2 linked regions of the Astyanax mexicanus genome follow. Each later gene encodes a partner of the first gene's protein in a complex. Links are inferred from orthologs where the notes say so. Each region holds a gene or a part of one and is shown in the gene's direction. Other genes may lie near its edges. The genes, in order: tubgcp5 and mzt1.

Region 1 (10,480 bases):
AATCTGAATTAATTAATGAAGATTGTAATGTGAAAAAGTAACCAAAGCTCACAGACAGACCACCGTCACATTTGTTGTTACAAGTACTGATGAATTGATGCAGAAATTTCAATCCTGATGATTCTTTTTGAAACAACAAGTTTTACACGTTTTACTGAATAGTTTTCTGTTAGTAGTGAAATGAAGACACATCAGTGTAATTTATTCAACTGATGTGGGAAAGTGAGAAAAGGCTGACTGTAGCAAAGAATGTGCAAGATAAAAAGTATGTTTAAATTCACTGTAGGTGTCATGATGAATTCAGTTTGTATCACACACAAGAAGCTATCCAGGGCAAAAACAGCACATCAGCATCAAGCAAATATAAGCATATATATATCTACAGGAAGCAGGAAAAAAGCCAAACTCAGATAAAAACATTTCAAAACCCTCACAATTCAGAGAACTTTTGCTTGCTGTGTAGTTGGAGTATGACAGCCTACATTTAGATAGTTATCTTCAGTAAAAAACATTTTTAGAGACAGAAATATCTTGGATAGCAAGTGGAGAGTGGAAATGTGCTGCTAAGCTATTAGCTGGAATTTGCTTTGTTCAGCATATTCTAGCTCCAGTACTCTAGCCCTCATACACGTACAGGTGTTCACTCCAGGTTTTTCCTACTACAACACACCTGATTCAGCTAAACATGTTACTCAGATGGAGGGAAAACAAAACGTGTTGATGCAGCTGGACCTTCTAGACTGGAGCTAGAAAATGCTGGTTCTTAACCGCTCCAGTTCATTTATTCAGAATGTTAGTTATTATTATAATTAGTGTTATATTGTTGATAATAAGTATCCAAACTTATTGGCTTCTTTTTGCAAGTTTCTTGATTTAAAAAAAAATGTTTTGTGTGAACTGATTCCCCTTAGGCTGTGTTCACATAAACCAGGTTGGTGGAGCTGAACTGATAAAGGAGATCTTTTTGTGCTGATATGAAAAATAACACTAAACAAAACTCTGTTGCCAAAACATGAGAACAGTAGCTCATCACATATGAAAAAAACCTTAACAAAAAACAAAACTGTTAATTTTATTCTATAATATTATATATTTATAATATCATGCTATGGTCTGGGCACCACAGTTAAAAATCTTAGTGTGAATAGTTAATGTGTTGTTTGTTCCAAAATTTGCTATTTTTTAAAAATTCTATTCAATCTTTCTTTTGCCCAAAGCACGATTGATTCACTACATGCTTAACAGTAGGAGAACAATATTTTTTATTCATTACTAGTGATGATAACCACATTTTTGTGGAAGATATATTGTCCCAGAAAAAAACACAATAAAGGATATTACTTGACCAATTTACACAACTGATAATAATAATTTAATAGAATAATAATGCCATTACACAATTTTAAAGCACAGTAAACTTTTCATTAATAATGGAAGAGGTATATATAATTTTGTGCATCTGAACAATTGTAAGGAAACACAATGGACGAACATAAATGATTTAGCTTATCTCATATATTGTATAATAAGTACATAACAAAATTATTATAACAGCCCTTTTAATTACTGCATCCCTTATTTTTCAAACATTCTTTTGCTCGTTTATACCAAACACTCTATTTTAAATTCACCAGTCCACAGGATTTGTTTAAATGCATCATGAGGCACAGGGAAGGAATGACTCTGTAAAGGTCATACTTATTTGTCAATATTTATCACTGCTTAAGGGTTTCTTTTAGGCAAATGGGGCTTTTAAGCCAATAAGCAGTTCTCTCTATGAGCTCTCTCCTGTTATTGTGTTCCTGTTAACTTGTATTTCTTAATTTCAAAATGAACTAGGGAAATGGCTCAAATTAAAATCTCAAAATGTTTTGCCATGTTCTTAAAGCTTTCTCCTGCTTAGCGGGCCTTAATTATTTTAATGCTTGGTATGCTAGGCAGTAGGGGTTTGTACCGGCTATACTGTAACTGTACCATTGTCTACAGGCAACCATATTTTATACACCCCTTCTAGGCAGTTGTTTAGAAGAGCCAATGGCTGTTGGTTGTCAAGGCAGGAATTCCGAAATTTTCATCATCTGGCCTTTCTTAATGATGATTATAAACAAATATCTTGGGGGTGCCTTACATTTGCATGGTACTTCTTTTTTTCTCCTTACTTCAAACAGAAAAAAAACAGAACTATGAAGTATTTGGTATTTAAACTGTAGCATGCCATTGTACACAGTTTATTTTTATAGCTCACTTTCTTATCTTTTTCTGTTGATATGGAGGCACCTCCACCCTCCAAAACCACCCCTTTACCTTTTTTCTCTTCTAGCCCTGATTGGTTGCCAGATAAAGAAAGCAGATGATGATGATCTGAACTACTGTATGTTGACTACCACATTTCACAATTGCTATATTGCGACAAAACGTAACTTTCCTGTCAGTCATGTTATAGTGTTGAGTTTGGAGGAACTGAGAGAAAATGCTGCTCTTTTTAGATGTTAGATGTCTCGTTATCCTGACCTAATACTTTTTGATCTATGCATCACAGCTCCTCTCTCTGGTTCCTCTTTATTTTCAGCTTTTACAAAATACTGTGTGGAGCTTGTTTTAGTTCATTGTTTATGGATTTAATCTCTTCTTTTGTAATGTAATCTGATTAGTTCAATAATGCTGCTGATGGAACAGACATTAAGGAGCTCTTCTGAACTCCGAGGGATTCATCCCACTGTGCCAAAAAAGCACATGCACTGTTTTTTACTGAGCAGTCGCTTCCCATGGGACTCTGTGGAAAATAGGAGGTGGCAGGCAGTTGGGAAAACAGCATACGGTAATGTGTACACTGAATAGTAATAAGACTGGACCTGTAATATTAGTTTAAATATGCTTTATATGGTATTTCAAATGAGAACACTAAAGTTCTTTGTTAGAGCCAATAAGAAACTAACACAAATGTACAAAACCCAAACAAAAGCAGCTCTGCAAACACTAACAATGGATTTGTTAAGGGATGTCAGTCAAGCGATTCAAAAATGGCTACAATTGTGGCTACAACTATATACAGCTATGGTGTATAAACACAGGGTAGTATTGATGGAGGTGGTGGAACAACACTGTTTACTGTCAGACTGCCTCCTGGCAAACCGTCTCCAAAATCGTACCAGGACTTGCTACAGCTGGACAACTTGATGACCTGGAAAACCTTCCAGCAATTTAAGCAAACCCTCATGCTGACCTATGATATGAACATTTTAGTTATAGTATATAGTTGGCATGAACTGCTGTCTGCTGGAGAACTGTGAACCAGTATTGGTGTTTCTTTTAAGACTTCATTTGAATTTAATTGGTCCGACTGACGTATTTTTCAACTGATAAAAAAAATTACACTACTATACTGCAATAATAACTACAATACTAATATTGGTATACTGTTAGGACTTCTATATGACTGTCTAGTATGATAGTATTCCATTTTGGCATATGCAAAATCTATGTACACATATCCCTAGGGTGATTATCCTCTCGTATTTGATCTTATAATATAATAGCAAAATGATGCAATAACAGCCTTTTAAAGAGCATTCATTTTTGATAGGATAGACAACAAACCAGCTCAATCTTCTTAATGTGATCTCCTTTGAAAAACAGAGATCAGGGATCTGATTATTTTTACCATATTATAATAAGAGCAGTGGCCTGTTGCGCTGTATGCTGGAGTGCTGGACTCTCAGTGTGTATCACGCCACACTGCTTTTCCCCACGCAACACACACAGGAAAGCGAAAGTGGTGTTGTCATGCACTGTAATAGAAGTTACAGAGTGTCTGTTTGGTCTGATTAAATGATGTGAAGATTAGAGTAGCAGTAAAACTGTACTCCCTGTGTGAATGTGTGTGTATAGCCTACTCCCTTCTCCTGACAAGAAATATATAGAAAAATATAGTAAAGCTTCAGTATCAAAAAATAAAAAATAAACCACTAAAAGGTACACTCTTCTAGTTTACACTATGATGATGCTCAGTCACCATACCTCATCATTTCAGACCAGCAATTCCCAGTACACTCCTCTGGGACCTCCAGGCTCACCTGTACCAGGTAAGTAGGTGTTTCTAGTTGATTGGATCAGCTGTGTGGAGATTTCAGCAGTAATTAAGCTGAAGTCAAACTTCAGTGAAGTCACACACTGCAATGTTTGTGTGTTTGGTGCAAAGACTTTTCATTATTTAATATCTTGTTGATTATCCAAATGACTGTACTTATGTGGGTGTGAACAGTTTATTCTGTAACTTTCAAAACTACCCAGATATTATACAGTCATTATATAGTACTATTATTACCACCAGGGAACATTTAAACTAAACAAGCTGAATTGTTTAAATATACACAGATATTTAATTTGTCTGAGAGGGCTGAATAGGAAAAACACAAGTATGCTTAGGTCCCCACAGGTGTACACCACCTGCAGGTCTCTAAGGACTAAGCTGACGTTTATTATCTGTACTAGCTAAATGTGTTAGATCATGACTGGAGCAAATCTCTAAACCATTTTTAGGCCGTGTGACACACATGACCTAATTAAAACTTTCAAGCACACCCAAAAAGCGATTCACATAGATGCATATGCCACTCACACAAATTTTGCATACATAGAAGACTAGCTCGGGTTTCCACACACCATATATGTATGCCATTGCTATTGCTGTCTGCTAACTAGCTTGGTGGGATGTTTGATTATTGTTTCTGGTCAATGCAGTATGCCTACTGATTCAAGCATATGGTATTTTTAGCGAGGGTATTCAGAGGTTTGGAGCCAAGGGAGGCCAGCACAGATTTATGCTGATTCCTCTGTCCTAGCACTAGAAATTTGAAAATAAACGAGTGGGATGAAGTTGGGCTTGTTTGAGCAGGTAAAGCTCAAAAGTGTGCTGGAGTTTAGCCCTCCAGGATCACTAGATCCTCCTCAGTGCTCTACTAGACACTAGAGTGAAAATTATGTAAACATCAGCCCACACAAACACACATGCTCAGACTCCACGGTTCCTTCTGCTTACTTGTACTCTACGTCTGGTCCGGGTTCCTCTTCTGGTAGCCCAGCTGGCGCATGACCTCGCTGCAGTAGGCCTCCACCTGGTTGACCTGCTCCACGTTGAGGCGCTCCCTCCAGGCGTAGATGGCTTCTTTGGCGTCCCGGGACGAGATAAGGAACGGCTTGTCCGAGCTGTATCCTCGACCGCGCGTCATGTTCAGCACGAACTTCTCGAGCTCGGGCGACACCGGCAGGTCCGAGAACCGGTACAGCCGCCGGAGCTCGTCCACGGGCCGCAGCACCAGGTCCTCGTAGCGTATCTGCATGTAGTTCCTGCGCAGCCACGGCGGCGCGTTGGCCACGAGCAGCATGTCTCCGAGCCAGCCGTCGCAGATCAGCTCCATGGCGCTGGCCACGTAGTTCTCGGCGCGGTTGGCGCGCGCGCCGGGCGCGAGCAGGCGGCGGTAGCGGTCTGCGTGCTTTTTGCTGCGCAGCACCTGGATGCTCTCGCGCACGAGCGCCAGCTTGGACTTGAGGCGCGAGTTGTGCACGGCGCGCGGGTCGCGGAACAGCTGCACGACGCGCAGGTTGAGCGCGGGGTCGCGCACGAGCGGAGCCAGCACGCCCACGTCGAGCACCCGCACGTCTTTGATCACCACGGCGCGGTACTTGCGGCACTCGCGCTCGAGCTCGGCGAGGTCGCGGGGCGGGCAGCGCGCGCACACGTCTCCCTGCACGAGCCCCACGTCGCGCTTGCTGTAGGCGGCGCACAGCGGCTCGGAGCAGATCACCTTGTTGGTCTTCCAGCCGAACACGAACGCCGTGCTGACGTTGGCCGCGCCCGCGTACAGCCGCAGCACGGAGAAGTCGCAGCGGAACAGCGAGCTCATCATGTCGCGCACGGCGCCCTGCAGGCTGGCCGCGTCGCCCGGGTACAGCGCCTGCCACATATTCCACATGGGCTCGTAGAGGTAGAAGACGTCCGGGTGCTGGTTGAACAGCTCGCCCAGGAACGACGAGCCCGTCCTCCACGTGGCGTGCAGATAGATGTGGATCTTGGTGTCGTTCCTGATGCCGCCGTCCTCGCCCGCCGCCTCCGTACCGTTACCTCCTCCTCCGGCTCCTCCTGCCGCTCCGCCGCCGATGCCGCTCCACAGCGCCATAGTGTTCTCCAGGTCGGGGCACCTCTGCTGCTGCACTGCATGCTTGGCGTGAGCCGAGTGACCGCGGTAGTCCAGCACGTACGGGACGAGCAGCAGCAGGACCGAGTAGGCGACGATGAGGATGATGTACTTCTTCTGAAGCCTCCTCTTCATTGCCGCAGCGCTCGGCTCGGCGATCCACTCGGATCTGGCGCCCCCGGTACACACAGGACTATCAACAGCCCTCAGCTCCGCTACTTCTGGAAGAGGGGGAGGGAACAAACACGCCCACACCACAGAGACAGAGAGAGAGAGAGAGATAGATAGAGAGAGAGAGAGAGAGAGAGAGAGAGAGAGAGAGAGAGAGAGAGACAGAGAGAGAGAGAGAGAGAGATAGAGAGAGAGAGAGAGAGAGAGAGAGAGAGACTGTAGAGTACACTAGCAGACACACAAACACAACATAAAGGCCAGCAGCCTTTAAAATACGAGCTCACAATCAGCAAAAAAAGAGAAGAAACTACAGGTAAAACAAAAGTTCATGATCAGATAAGCTACCTAAAATGCCTGTGCCTAGAGAAAAAAGCAAGATAAGAAAATCACAAAGCGGGTGCCAACATCAGGCAAAGACCAAACAGAATAAGACCACAAGCACACAAAATAGAATCCTGGAAAAACAAAAAAATGCAAAATATGAAAGCACAAAAGTTCACAAATAGGCAAAATTCCCAAATCCAGAAAATAAGTCGGTTAATAAAGACAAGGTAAGGGTGCATACCAAAACCTTCCCAAAATAATCGCTTAACTTCTACGTTTTTCAGGAACCACAAAAATGTGACATTTGTTTAAACATTAGCAATGGTTTAAAGAAGAATAATTGGACTTAGGGTTTACTGAAACATGATAAAGAGTCCCAGCAGCTAGGTTACTTAACTTATATAGCGCTCCATTGCTATCTATTGTTCTTGAATCCTCATCCAATTCTGAGGAGGATGATTCACCCCTTCTTCTTGTAACTCTGTTCCAAAGGAAGGGGCTACAGTTTAAAACAAGGGGTAGAGGTACAAACTATTAATGGGATTGGGCTTCAAGATAGATGTCTATGGGCCTCAGTGTATCTGGGATCAGTTATAGCTAGGTTGGCTAGGAGGCGGTATAGAGCTGCTAATGCTTGATACGTTCGTGTTTAACCACAGAAGGAGCATCAAAACAGGCTGAGCGGCAAGAAGGAGAAACGGGCTGAACTGAATGAGCAGCGAATCAGTTCACTAAATCGAGACTGAACTGCGACAGGATTATTATAGCAAGCACTGAGTAAAGGGGGGAAATAACCGCAGCACCTGTGAATACTGTGAGGGGAGGACCTGCTCGCTGAGCTCGCTGGGTTAGATAGCCTGCTAGGTCTTAGCTGTATGACTGAAACCGCCGTTATGATGATGCTAAGCGGTTGGCTAGCTAACTTAGCTAACGATAGTAAGCAAGGTTCACGCTGTTAAAATGAACGTAGTGAAAACCTACAGAATCAGCTCAGCTAGACCTGTGAAGCCAGAATGGCAGTAGGAAGAGATATAAGAGTAATTTAAAATTTTAAAATCGTATTTACAATTGGCTAGTTAGCTAACTTAGCTAAGTGTCTGCAGGATGGCTCACTGGACCAAATTTGAGAAGGAGCTGGAGCAGGAGGTGAAGAGACTGATAGCACACATGACTGGCATTCAAGATGAAGAGGACCAAAACTTCCAAATGGCTCTCAAATTCGCCTGGTCAAATTTCAAGTAAGGACATGTTTGGCTCAGGCTGTATTCTTAAGCTGTTCATGTTTGTAATTATATGTTTTTTACTGTATTAAATTGTCCTTAAAGAGTTGATTTTTACTTTTCTTTATCTTGCCAGGTTTCACCGTTTCCTGGATGTCAGCAGCCACAATGTGCAGCGCTCAATAAATGGGTGAGAATAAGATTGTGTTTAATTTAATTAAAACATAACACAAAATGTAAGGAGATTTGTGTTTGGAAGATTATTTCTTAAGCCCTATCCGGACGCGTTTAATAACATAGCTATTTGTCATGTTGGGCGCACGTTTCCACGTTTCCACACAACAGCGAATGGAAATGGAGGAGCTGCTGAACGCGATGTCATGTGACTGCAAAAGTCTCAAAAAACTCACTGGTCCTCCTGTTTTTTCAATTTCACTCCAGATGCAGAGGTTTTACCACTAAGTGAAAGTATGAAATATTTTTCATAGACATCCTCCTGAGAAACTAATCCTATCTGGATAGGGCTTATGTTGTAACAATACTTCTTGACATTAAATCTCATACAACTATAAAGCCTCTTTATTATTATTTTTAATGGAGCCACATTTCTAAGGAACACATACTTTTGGGATGAGCAGCAGTGCTGAGTATGTGGATTGCATGAAAAATTGGCCAAATATTCTTATTCTTATTATTATACAGCTTATTTTGCTATTAACCCTTGTTTTAAGCCACTGGTTCCCCCGGGTGCTGCCTTATTAGCAGTGCATGTGAGCATGGGCTATGCTACTGTGGTCAGTTGGTGTCTGCTCAAAGTATAGGCATGCTACATTTGTCTGATCTGGATAGGGACCATGTGGAAGGCCAACTTCAAGCTGGTGTTCCAAAAAAAAAAGTTGCAGCGTTATTTGGAGTGAGCCATAGTAGCATCTTCAAATTAAAGGCTAAGTTGAAGGCTACAGGGGATGTCTGTAAAAGTTAGCGGCCCAAGAAGATGGTCAAACACCAAATTAGTCAAGAAGAGGACAGATGAGCTGTTTGGCAATGGCAGAGAGGAATGGCAAATTTGTCACGGGCACAACACACATACTCAGCTCTGCTGCTTATCCCACAAATGCATGTTCATTACAAATTAAAGAGAAATTAACAGGCTTTCAAAAGGTATAAGATTTATTACCGAAGAAACAAACTACCAGAGACACATGTTCTTACCTTTCCAGCTATGCTTAGTTTACAAACTGATAACATGTTCACCTCTTGCATTTCTTAGAATATATGAGAAACTCATGGTGCACTCAGACCTGTGTAAAGCAGAGAGCTGGACACGACTGACTGAGGAATTCCTGAACTCCCCTCTTCCTACTGCTGAGGGTACCATGGTAAAACACTCTAAAATCATACTAGATTACTTTAAAACATTAAGAAACCTGCAAAGTATACACTACCAGTCAAAAGATTGGACACACCTTCTCATTTATTGTTTTTCTTTTATTTATTTTCTACATTGTAGATTAATATTAAAGACGTGAAAACAATTAAGGGACACATATGGGATTACTTAATAAAGATTTAGGATAAGCTGGAGCTTTTGGAAGGAAAAGCAGCGACTATTGTTCAGCACCTCCAGGAACTTCTTCAAGATGCTGAGGAAACTAATCCAGATGACTCTTCCTCATAAGGACACCGAGATTAAAACACCAAGAGTGTGCAGATCTGTCCTCAAAGCTAAATGTGGTTCTTAAAAGAATCTAAAATATAAAACACACATATATTTTGGTTTGTTTACCACTTTTTGTTCAAAACTAACTTTACATGTTTCTGTATAACTTTAATGTCTTCAATATTAAATTCACCATGGAAAACCTCAAAGGGAAAGAAACAAAGAAAGAAAAACATTGAATGAGAAGAGGTGTATCCAAACCTTTGAGTTGTATTGTATGTACTGAAAGTTGGCTTTTTACTGTTTCGTATAGACTGATATCCACCATGGGATATTGGCGCTGTTACTCTTCCTGTCTGATTCTCCATGTAATACTAACTACAGTGAAAGGCCCAGACTAAAAGAATCTGGTAAGTTTTCTTGTGTCAATACTTGTGTGTTCTGACTTGTGTAGTAAATGTATAAATCTTTAGTCAAATAAAACTAATCGTTGCAGAAATGAAAGACACCTTTGACTGGGCTAAGTACTTAATGGAAGGAGAGGATATTGAAACAGGGCCTTTTCCTGACACTCCAGTGAGTATGCTGAGTTAAACAATAAATCTTAGTGTATTGCTGTGTACTGTGTATTGCTGCAGTATTGTAAAACATATATTTTTAGCACATGTTTATTTAGCCTGCCAGTGACATAAACAGCTATAGCTTTCAATTTACATCTTGGACTAATAACCTAACAAGGTTTGAGCTGTAAATCTGTGTAATTTACAGATGTAGTGAATATATATTTGTACATATTTATTTTCAGGAGTGGTCAGAGGATGGAAGCGAGGAAGAAGAAAGTCAGCAGCCCATCAGCAGAGAGGATTCTGGGATACAGGTTGACAGAACACCACAGGAAGATCAGGAACAAA
Region 2 (10,382 bases), on another chromosome or scaffold:
ACGCCTGGGGCGCGAGAGAAGCCGCGGCGGTGAGTTGAGCGAGTGACGTCATCGGGCCGTGATGCCGGTGCGGCTCCTGCGCGCTGTTCACCTCTCAAAGAGGAGAGGGAGGGGTTGGATGAATGAGGGAAGGGGGAGAGGAGAGAGACGAGGGACGAGAGACGAGGCACTGAGGCTGAAGCAGGCGAAGTTGGTGCCGCGCCAGGAGCGCAAGAGCTGCCGCGGCAGCGAGTTGAGCGGGTGACGTCATCGGGTCGCGACGCCGGTACCCGGAGAGGTACAGCGAAAAAGTTCCGCCTTTGGAGCAGAACGGGGGAAAGGGACGCCACAGTCCTTCAAAACCCGCTGCAGCTTAACAACAGTCCAATCGGACATGCGAGGAGGCTGGGACTTACTAGAAGAGAGGGGCCCAGGGCCAGCGAGGCCGGCCGAGAAAGACGGGCGTCCGGAGCGGCGAGCCCGCGCAGGAGGAGTAGGGGAAGGGGGAGAAGAGCGGCGGGAGTGCCGAGATCCGGGGATGCACTGGTTAGGACGACCGACCCGGGAGGAAGAATAAGCAGTAGCCGGAGTAGAACCAGGAGTAGCCGGAATGGAGATTACGAACTTCAGACGATGAGCCCGGCGAGGTGGAGCAGGAGTGGAGACAGGCTGGCTAGGAGGGAAGAGGTCCTCGTCGGAGGCGGTGAGTTAAAGGTCCATGACGGAGAACAAGCTAATGCTAGCAGGCGGGTGCGGCAGATTCGACTGATGCGAACTTTCGTCACGAGAGGTAGTTAGTTAGGGAAGGTATTTATAGGACGGTTGATTGATACGGGGTGGAGTTAGAACGTAGAGTTGGGGCGTGGTCCTTCTCCCAAACTTTTGTTATTACATAACATCCTTTAATGAAAGAAAAATATTGAAAAAAATATATATTAGTCCGTCTTTTAAATAACGGAAATTTTATTTGCATTTTTAAGAATCTGCTGCTTCTAATGCATTATAATAATATAATAATAATTATCTGTTTGTAAAAATGTGTATATGTGTATATATATATATATATATTACAATATTACAATATTTCTACCATGTCGCCCAGCCCTAATTTGGAGCCAGTTTTTCAGACTCAAAATGAGGTTAAACCTTCCAGCTGTTATTTACTCTCAGCACGTTTCACCTGGTCTGGCTCAGATATAATGCTTGTCGGTGAATGTCCTCAGGGTCTATGTGCACCGGGAGAAGGTTCGCCAACTCGTCTATGGACCATTTAAACTTGGCTGGGGTCTGAAACACAAATTTACACAAAAAGTTTCAACATGCCCGATACTATATTATCACTGCCACAGGAAAGGAAGAGCAAGTTTATCAGAGTTACCAGCGTCACAAACTGCAAGTAGGAGTATTTTGGTTCGTTTAATGCTTTTAAGTTACTACATGATTCCTTAGGTGTTCCTTCATAGTCTGGATGACTTCAGTATTAAAGTATAATGTAAAGAGATTTAAAAAAATAAAACAGCATGGTAGGCCTGTCACAATAATTGCAATATCGATTTATCGTACAATAAATGAACATGACCTCAATAATTTTTGATAATCGTGATATCGTCTATTGTGCTTATTTGTATGTTTATAAGAGTGAACAGTATTTTAGCCAGTCATGCTTCAATAACTGTGACTTCATACACACAGTCTGGACTAAAGTAGGGATTCCCAAACTAATTATAATAAATTATTATTAAAGTTTTTGCTATCTTTAAAAAGTGTAGAATTACTTTTTTATGCTCATCATAACGTCATTTGCATTTAATAGTCTTAAAATTACAAAAATATTGTGAATCGCAATAATTTCTGGGACAATATATCGTCCACAAAAATTCTTATCTTGACAGGCCTACAGCATGGTCAAGATTGGTCCAACTGGTTGTTTAGCTTGTTTAAGACCAGTTACACCAGCTAAACTAATGCAAACAAACCCTGTACTGGTCAACAAGCTTAACCAGCTTGTCCGTCTTGTTTTTTCAGCAGGTTAGATACATTAACAATGGGGTTGAAGACAATGGCCTGGTAGGAAACCCGTTGTGGTTACTCACAGCTGACGAGGGCTTGGCGCACTTGAACACAGAAGGGCTGGGGACGAGGGGCTCGTGCAGGTGGTGGTAGTCAGTGGGACTCTCGAACGGATTACGGATGGACGGCCTTCCTGGAGTTTCAGGAGTGATCTGGACCTCAACAACATCTCCCATCCTCTGTGCTGAACGATCTTCACCTAATGCTGCAGAGGAAATCCTCAGGCTTTTAAAACATGAGGCAGGACAGCAAGAAACGAGGAGACAGTTAGATCAGGGAATGCTAATGGCTCACTTCACACGTTCATATTAGCTTATTAAATCAATGCAGAACCATTCATCAGTGATGATAAATAGTCCCATACTCTTAGAAAAAACATAAATACTCTAATTAAAATGTACTTAAAGATGCAATATGTAGTATTTTCCTATAGCTATGTTATATTATCTTTAACTAATGTGTTGCAGAGTGACAATATGTTTTATTAAGAAACAAAGATTTATTAAAAAAAAAAAAAAAAAACACAAACAATGTCATTATAAAAGATTGTCATTTATTGGTATATTGTTGAGTAATATTTATTTTTGCTGACAATCATTATTCTATAGGTATTTTGAGTTTAAAGGATATATGAAGAATGAATAAGTACAATTTACATGCAATATCTGCACAATTATACAAATAAAAATGTAATATATATATATATATATATATATATATATATATATATATATATATATATATATATATATATATATATATATATATATATATATTACTTTTTTTGTTATCAAAAAGTAAAATAACAGAATTTTAAAAAGTGTTTGTAAGCCCTTCATATTGGCTTTTGGTACTAAATTTTGGAGAAAAAAAACTGGTATGAACTTTATTATTTTTTATTTATTTTGTGTTGTAAAGAAGAAATTAGTTTTCATTCATTTATTCAATTTTTTTTTTAGTTTTTCCTTTTCTACTCCTCATAATCTAAATTTTAGGAAATTTAATTCAAGTATATATTTTTTCTGGATTTTTATATTCCCCCCATCTTGTAATAGAAGCAAGTTTGATTAGATCAGATTTTCTGTAACGAAATGCAAAAATGGAAAAAAAAAAAAAAAAAAAAAAAAAAAACATGAATAAAAATTGTTTCAACCTATTTTTCTTTAAATTCAGATTGCAGACATTAAAAAAAATAAGAAAACAAAAAAAGGATTTCAAAAAAAATATTTTCTATATTTAAAAAAACTTCGCACCAAATCAGAAAACTTAACTGTAACCCTTATACTGACAATAAGTAACATAAGAGAAAATAAGAAAAAAAAAAAAGAGATTTTATTTAATTTTAAATTTTGCGTAAAATTTTGTTTGGAAAAAAAAGTAGGCCGTAAATGGGACAAATTTAAAAACTAGGAAATAATACGAAAAGAAATAAAAAAGGACATAAGTACATTATTTATTCATTTATAATTTGTAACAATATAAATATAATTCTAGCAAAAATATACAGTAAAAAATAAATGTGTTGTTTAGCTTCCTTTTTCAAGCACAACAAATTCAGATTTTTACTTTAAAAAAAAAAAAGCTAATTTTAAACGTTACAGTCCCAAAATAAGTTAAGCAAAGTTTCTGGGTGTGCACGTCATTTTTAAAAATTAATAAGATATGGGTAAAAATAAATAATAAAAACAATCAATCAATCAATCAATCAATCAATCAATCAATAAATAAAAAAATATATATATATATATATATATATATATATATATATATATATATATATATATATATATATATATATATATATATATATATATATATTAGCATTCATAAGAAACTTATTTTCTTTAGTTTGGTCTAGTTTTTTCCCCTAGTCAGTTAGATTATTTAACTTACTTATTTAGGAAATTTCCTTTATAACACTGCAGCCCTTAGAGCTCAGCTCTGAGTAGTTAGTTAGTTAGTTAGTTAGTTATTTAGTTCGTTAGTTAGTTAATAAGTAAGTGAGTAAGTAAGTAGTACCAGTACAAGCGATTAAACTCCTGATTAAAAAACTCTAGCGCTTAATTCATCATTTATCTGCCTCATTCAGAACCGGATCAGTAAAGCGAGGTGTGAACTGCTGCTCTGTTAACCGGATTAAAGCGGATTTAACCCGAATAAACTCATAAAATCCTTAAAAACACAGAAAACACAGAACTCACCCTGACCTCCTCCTCGCTCCTGTTTCCTAGCCTGCTTTTGGTGTTCAAACGTTTGATTTAATTTTTGCTCAACGCACGCCAGCCAATCACAAGCGCGGGATTCTCACAGCGACCAATCAGAATCATTGCTCGGTGTGTGACGTCGTTTCCGCTTGCTCGCTTGCTCAAGTCCGCAGCTATGAGAGAGTCTGTATAGAGGAGAATACCCACTGCAGAAATGAATGGAAATATATGGAGCAACTGAGCAAAATTACAGTGTATTCATTTAAAGGAGTAATCTGGTGTAAAATGGACTTGGGTAGTGAAACATGATAATGAGTACAAACTTTTCTTGAATAGTCCTCACCTATTAGCCAAAGCAAAAAAAAAAAAAACAACAGGTTTACAATGCTAGTGATAGGGGCATAGAGTTTCTTATGAGAAATCACTATTTTTCAAGTCAAGTCCAGTCTAGCTTTTTTTGTCAATACTGCATATGTACAGGACATACAGAGAATTGAAATTACGTTACTCTTCTTCCAAAAGTTACAGCAAGTACAGCAAAATAATATTATAAATATAAAAGGATTAGACACACTAAATGTACAATACAACAATGTCACAGATAAGGACAGTAGGACAATAGTGATGGGGGATTAAAGAGAGAATGACAGTACCAGATTAAACAGAACTCGTACAAACATTAGTGCAAATATAGAGGTATAGAAGCTTAAGGCTGGTAAAGTGAATGAGTCCATACACTTCTTTAAATGCCACAGTCATAGGGGGAAACAGTGGGTATGGTAGTGCAGGTATAAGCAGTAGTGCAGGTATGGGGTGTGTGAGGTCCTATTAGTTCTTACTAAGTTTTTACACCATTAACAATGTCAAATTAGCTCCACACTTTATTGGTAGAATTCGTAGTTCCTGACATACGAGACATACGACAAACGAGGCACTGAGATCTATCTATCTGTCTGTCTGTCTGTCTATCTATCTATCTATCTATCTATCTATCTATCTATCTATCTATCTATCTATCTATCTATCTATCTATCTATCTATCAGTCTGTCTGTCTGTCTGTCTATCCATCTATCAGCTCCCCAAAACTAACACTAGCAGTAATGCTAGCGTCTTTCCAGCATAAAATCTGTTCCTGAAGACAAATGTAACCATATAGAAATGTTTTCTTTAGTGTTGTACCACAACTCTCTTAATACTTTCCAAAATTACAGAAATATCACAATAAAATAGTTAACTGCTATTTTTATTTAAGTTCTTAGCCCTTTAGCTTCATTCACTTCCATTTTTTGAGGTCTCACTCGCGGGCTTCCCCTAGCGGTCAGAACTCATTTACTGAATTTACTATTATATCTAACGGGTGAGATGGGAAGTGGGCCGTCTCGCTGTAAACCGGCTGTGGTGTTGAAGCTAGCTAACGCTACAGTAAATGAGAATAAACAGCTAACGAGCAGGTTTCTGCAGTTTATAGACTATTTTTATGAGTTTATTTAGACTAAATAAGAATTTAAGTATATAGTTAAAGGGTTAAAATTGAAACACGTCGGACAAACCCGGAATATAACGACAAATAGCGTGTAAATAGCTAAAGTTAAATAGTTTGTTGTTGCTGGTGCTAACGTTAGCTCGTTAGCTTATCGTTGTGATGGCCAGCGCTGCCAGTACCAACATGAACGCTGTGCGGGAAACGATGGACGGTGAGGAAACAGAGTTATTTAATCTATTTAACTACTGATTTTTTTTAATATTTTCTGTTTAATAATGTCCTTATATTAGTGAAATCCTATACAGAAGGCTTGCTAAGCTAATAGCGAAGCGAAGCTAACATAACCTGCATAGCTTACCCACCGCTCTATGTATCTGTCTGGCTGTAATGAGAGTGTTAAATGTGATTTATTATTGTTTTTATTTAACTGAAGTTTTTCTGTAATGTTGTTTGTTTTTTTCTCAAGCATAATATTTTCTGTTATTAGTCTAACATCTAAGCTATAGTGTTCACTTCATTACTAATTCATTAAAGGTTAATAGAAGCTTGTAGAAGTAACTGTTACACTAGGGCTGCAACTAACGTCTATTTTCATAGTCGACTAATCTGTCGATTTTTTCCCCCATTTGTTCGATTAGTCACGATTATTATTAATTTGGATTTCTTCATATTGTTTATTTATCAGTCACAATTATTTTTCAGTTTGGTCGATTAGTCATGATTATTATTGTATTTGATATGGTGGCTATTGTTTTTTTTTTTATTAGTCACGATTATTTTCTGATTGGTCAGTTAGTCACGATTATTATTTTTCTGTTAGCCAATTGGTCGCTGTTATGTTTTTTTTTTTTGTATCAGTCACAGTTATTTTCTGGTTGGTCGATTGGTCACAGTTATTATTATTATTTTTGATTGGTCAGATTATTCTCCATTTAGCCAGTTAGTCATAATTATTATTTTTCTATAAGTCGATTGGGCGTTTCTTTATTTGTTTATTTCAGTTAGGCTTCAGTTAATCACGATTATTATTATTTTCGATTGGTTGCCATTGTTTATTCATGAGTCACGATTAGTTTCCGTTTTGTCAATTAATCATGATTATTATATTTTAATGTATTAGTCAGTCTAATATATTGGATTAGTCATTTGGTTGCTATTATTTATTTATCAGTGACAATTATGTTCTGTTTGGTTGATTAGTCACGATTATAAGTTTTCTAGTTTTCAATTTCAAAGTTAATTGGTCTCTATTTTGAATTTTTTTGTTTTTATTTACCTATTTTTTTGTCACAAATATTTTCAGTTTGGTCAATTTTTTTTTTATTGGTTTCTATAATTTTTTTTATCAGTCATGCTTATTCTCAGTTTGGTTGATTAGTCACAATTATTAGTATCATAGAGAATTGTCTTGTGATATATCAAGTATTACAGCATCACAGTATTAGGATGTGATACTGTTTTTGTAGACAGTAACCTTGTTCTTTTTGTCTGTTTTTCAGTTCTGCTGGAGATCTCCAGGCTTCTGAATACAGGGCTGGATATGGAGTCCTTGTCCATATGTGTTCGTCTGTGTGAGCAAGGAATCAACCCTGAAGCCCTTTCATCAGTCATAAAGGAGCTACGCAGAGCCTCAGACACACTTAAGGTAACTTAAGGTGTAGTAACATAAGATAACAGAAACTGCCCACTCTGCCAAAATACCAATTGGTCTTATATAATGTTCTAATTTTCTGAGACACTGTTTTCTGGGTTCTCATTGGCTGTAAGCCATAATCATCAACAATAAAGGAAGTAAGCACTTAAAATAGATCACTCTGTGTTTAATACATCTATATAATATATGAGTTTCACATTTTGAACTGAATTACTGAAATAAAGTAACTTTCAATTTATATTCAAAATATACCACTTAATAAAAATGTGATGATCAGGTTTATAAAAATAAAAGGGATGAGATGTGCTCAGTCATTAATGAACTAACATTTCCCTATTATGTCTAACTTGATCTGTTCCAGGCCTCTGAAAACAGCACAAGTCAAGGATGACCTGCGTCTATAGTGTCTCCACTTCTAAACCCTGTAGTTGAAAAATCGTTTAGAATGAATTCTTCCAGAGACTGATTTATATTAAATGATGAACCTGAATGATGGTATTTAACCTGTTCTCTGTGCACATCGCTGGTTACATGCAGTGCTTTGGAATGGGAATTACTTTTTTGGTGGGTTTGTTTTTCCACATCAAGCCAAACTACCATTTCATCCTTGGTTTCAGTCATCCTTGCTTTTTTTATCCACTGTTCAAAATCTTCAGCTCCCTCCAGTTTCTGAGAAACTCAGTGTGATGGCCTTCCCCATGTGGACTTACAGTAATGAAGCTTTGTGAAGAAGAAGTGTTAATATTCATCTATTGTTTGTAAAAACTCATCTTTAATATAAATGTTTGTGTTTTTTCTTACAAATAAAACATGTAAATTATTGTATTCCACAATTATTTGGCTCTCTTATTTTTTTATCATCGCTGTCCAATAAAAAACACTTATCTCCAAAACAGCAGCTTTACAGGAGAGAGAAAAAAACCTTGTAAACTTTCAATGGAAGTCAATGTAAAAAGAGTTTATTTCAGGTTATTTTCTATTGGTTCGTTCATCAAGAAATTGTGGCACAGTGTGAGGGACAGTTTGTCTGTTCAAATTATGTAGTAAACTAAAAAATGAACAAAAATGGAGATAAGTGTTTTTCATAGGACAGCGAGGATATGATGTCATTTGCAGGGATCTGTGTTTGCAGCAAGTGTCCACTAGTGGGTGACAAAATACAGCAGAAGATAATGTACCACACTGTGTGGTAAATATGGTAAAGTTCAGTGGTTTTCAGTCCTAAACCTTGAATATCGCTGCTCTACACATTTTAGAGTTTATCATTGGTTCTAAAAAAACAGCTTTGAACTAATCAAATAAAATAACGTTTATTTATATAGTGCTTTTTACAACTGATGCCGCAAAGCAGCTTCACAGAAATGAGGTAGTAGAGCCGGAGGAGGAAGAGGAGGAGGAACCCTGGGGAAATCAGGGCTTACATGTACCTTATACCACTATTACTTGTACTATTAAGACTAATATACAACTCCTGAAAAAATTAAGAGACCACTTCAGTTTCTCTGATTTTGCTATTTATAGGTTTATGTTTGAGTAAAATGAACATTGTTGTTTTATTCTATAAACCACAGACAACATTTCTCCCAAATTCCAAATACAAATATTGTCATTTAGAGCATTTATTTACAGAAAATGAGAAATGACTGAAATAAAAAAAAAAAAGATGCAGAGCTTTCAGACCTCAAATAATGCAAAGAAAACAAGTTCATATTCATAAAGTTTTAAGAGTTCAGAAATCAATATTTGGTGGAATAATCCTGGTTTTTAATCACAGTTTTCAGGCATCTTGGCATCATGTTCTCCTCCACCAGTCTTACACACTGCTTTTGGATAACTTTATGCTAATCACTCCTGGTGCAAAAATTCAAGCAGTTCAGTTTGGTTTGATGGCTTGTGATCATCCATCACATCCAACCCATCATTTTTAAGTGCTCTCTTATTTTTTTCCAGAGCTGTATATAATGGGGGACCCATCCTCCTTTGGTTAGGATATAATCAGTAGTGGATAGTGAGCAGCTGATCTGTGATGAACTAACATAATTTGGAAAAAAAAGACAAAAATAACAGTGTTTTAGATTTTTTTTATTTCATATATAGTAGACACTTACATGATTATAATATACTACTGATTATTGATGTGGGCCTGGGGCTGTACAATTTTGATTCTGATTTTTGCTGTACAAAAAAATCACCTGTTTCCATCCAGCTTTTGACATAGACAGTATCTCACAAAAGTAAACTGCACTCCTCACACATTTCTGTGAATATTTTTTCATATCTTTTCATGGGATAACACTACAGAAAAGACACTTGAATATAGCTTACAGTAGTCAGTGTACAGCATGTATAGCAGTACAGTGAACATTTCCAAATAGCGAGCAATGTGAACATTTTCTAAGGTGAAGTAAAAGCAAAGAAGATTAAATAAAGATTTGCTTATTCTTTATTTAATTATATATTTATAACGTATTTATTTTTTATATATATCCTCTTTAGACCCTGCGTCCTCATATGAGGACATCACATTTCTGCTTCTCTGCAACATTATACTTAATAATTTGCAGAACTTTAACCCTTTTGGCCTCATATGGACACGTTGCTGTATCATCTAGTGGCCACATGATAACATTTAACACTTTAAGAGGGTGGGAATCCCAGTCAAAGGTTTCTACAGCCAGTTCAGACAGAAACATGGGCGAGATACAAAACTCTCATCCAGTTTTATGTTTGAAACTATTCTCCTTATGTTGTTTTTGCTTTTTTTCTGCTTACTGTCGAAAGATAAAAGGTTGTTTTTGGACTTATTTGGTAAAAGGTAGTTTTTAAATGTTAAAATAAACACCAATTTCTAATTGAAGACATTGTTTTTTTTTTTTTTGCTTGTTAGATCCGAGTCAGGGTCTCAGGAGGTTATATATTAACTTTTTTATTTTAATAATTAAAAATGTAAGGTGACCTATCCACAATCTTTGCATTGTTTTGATGACCTGT

Evidence for each region.
Region 2: the proteins of tubgcp5 (region 1) and mzt1 are in contact, whole or in part, in a crystal structure (PDB 6L81), measured with the Homo sapiens proteins. The link is inferred for Astyanax mexicanus from reciprocal best matches to the Homo sapiens genes TUBGCP5 and MZT1. Residues at the interface, in NP_443135.3 of Homo sapiens: Gln14, Gln15, Asp18, Val19, Glu21, Leu22, Val23, Val26, Ala27, Gly28, Asn36, Ala40, Phe43, Ala44, Asn47, Phe48, Arg52, Phe53, Leu54, Phe72, Lys80, Ser83, Trp84, Leu87, Thr88, Glu90, Phe91, Ala106, Ser109, Ile110; in NP_001065243.1 of Homo sapiens: Glu23, Val27, Leu28, Glu30, Ile31, Ser32, Ile34, Leu35, Asn36, Thr37, Leu39, Leu44, Ile46, Cys47, Val48, Arg49, Leu50, Cys51, Glu52, Gln53, Ile55, Asn56, Pro57, Glu58, Ala59, Leu60, Ser61, Ser62, Val63, Ile64.

Annotation. Positions count from the first base shown.
Region 1 is NC_064412.1:18,778,574-18,789,053, reverse strand, and holds the start of tubgcp5 (gamma-tubulin complex component 5), read left to right. Parts: upstream 1-6,541; 5' UTR 6,542-6,678; intron 6,679-7,792; 5' UTR 7,793-7,793; coding exon 7,794-7,927; intron 7,928-8,045; coding exon 8,046-8,099; intron 8,100-9,179; coding exon 9,180-9,288; intron 9,289-9,882; coding exon 9,883-9,979; intron 9,980-10,065; coding exon 10,066-10,145; intron 10,146-10,374; coding exon 10,375-10,480. Other genes in the region: chst7 (carbohydrate sulfotransferase 7), read right to left, coding at 5,046-6,329. UniProt on the Homo sapiens protein: Component of the gamma-tubulin ring complex (gTuRC) which mediates microtubule nucleation.
Region 2 is NC_064428.1:31,767,937-31,778,318, reverse strand, and holds mzt1 (mitotic-spindle organizing protein 1), read left to right. Parts: upstream 1-5,623; 5' UTR 5,624-5,896; coding exon 5,897-5,948; intron 5,949-7,236; coding exon 7,237-7,382; intron 7,383-7,752; coding exon 7,753-7,782; 3' UTR 7,783-8,216; downstream 8,217-10,382. Other genes in the region: bora (protein aurora borealis), read right to left, coding at 1,160-1,266, 2,073-2,225. UniProt on the Homo sapiens protein: Required for the recruitment and the assembly of the gamma-tubulin ring complex (gTuRC) at the centrosome.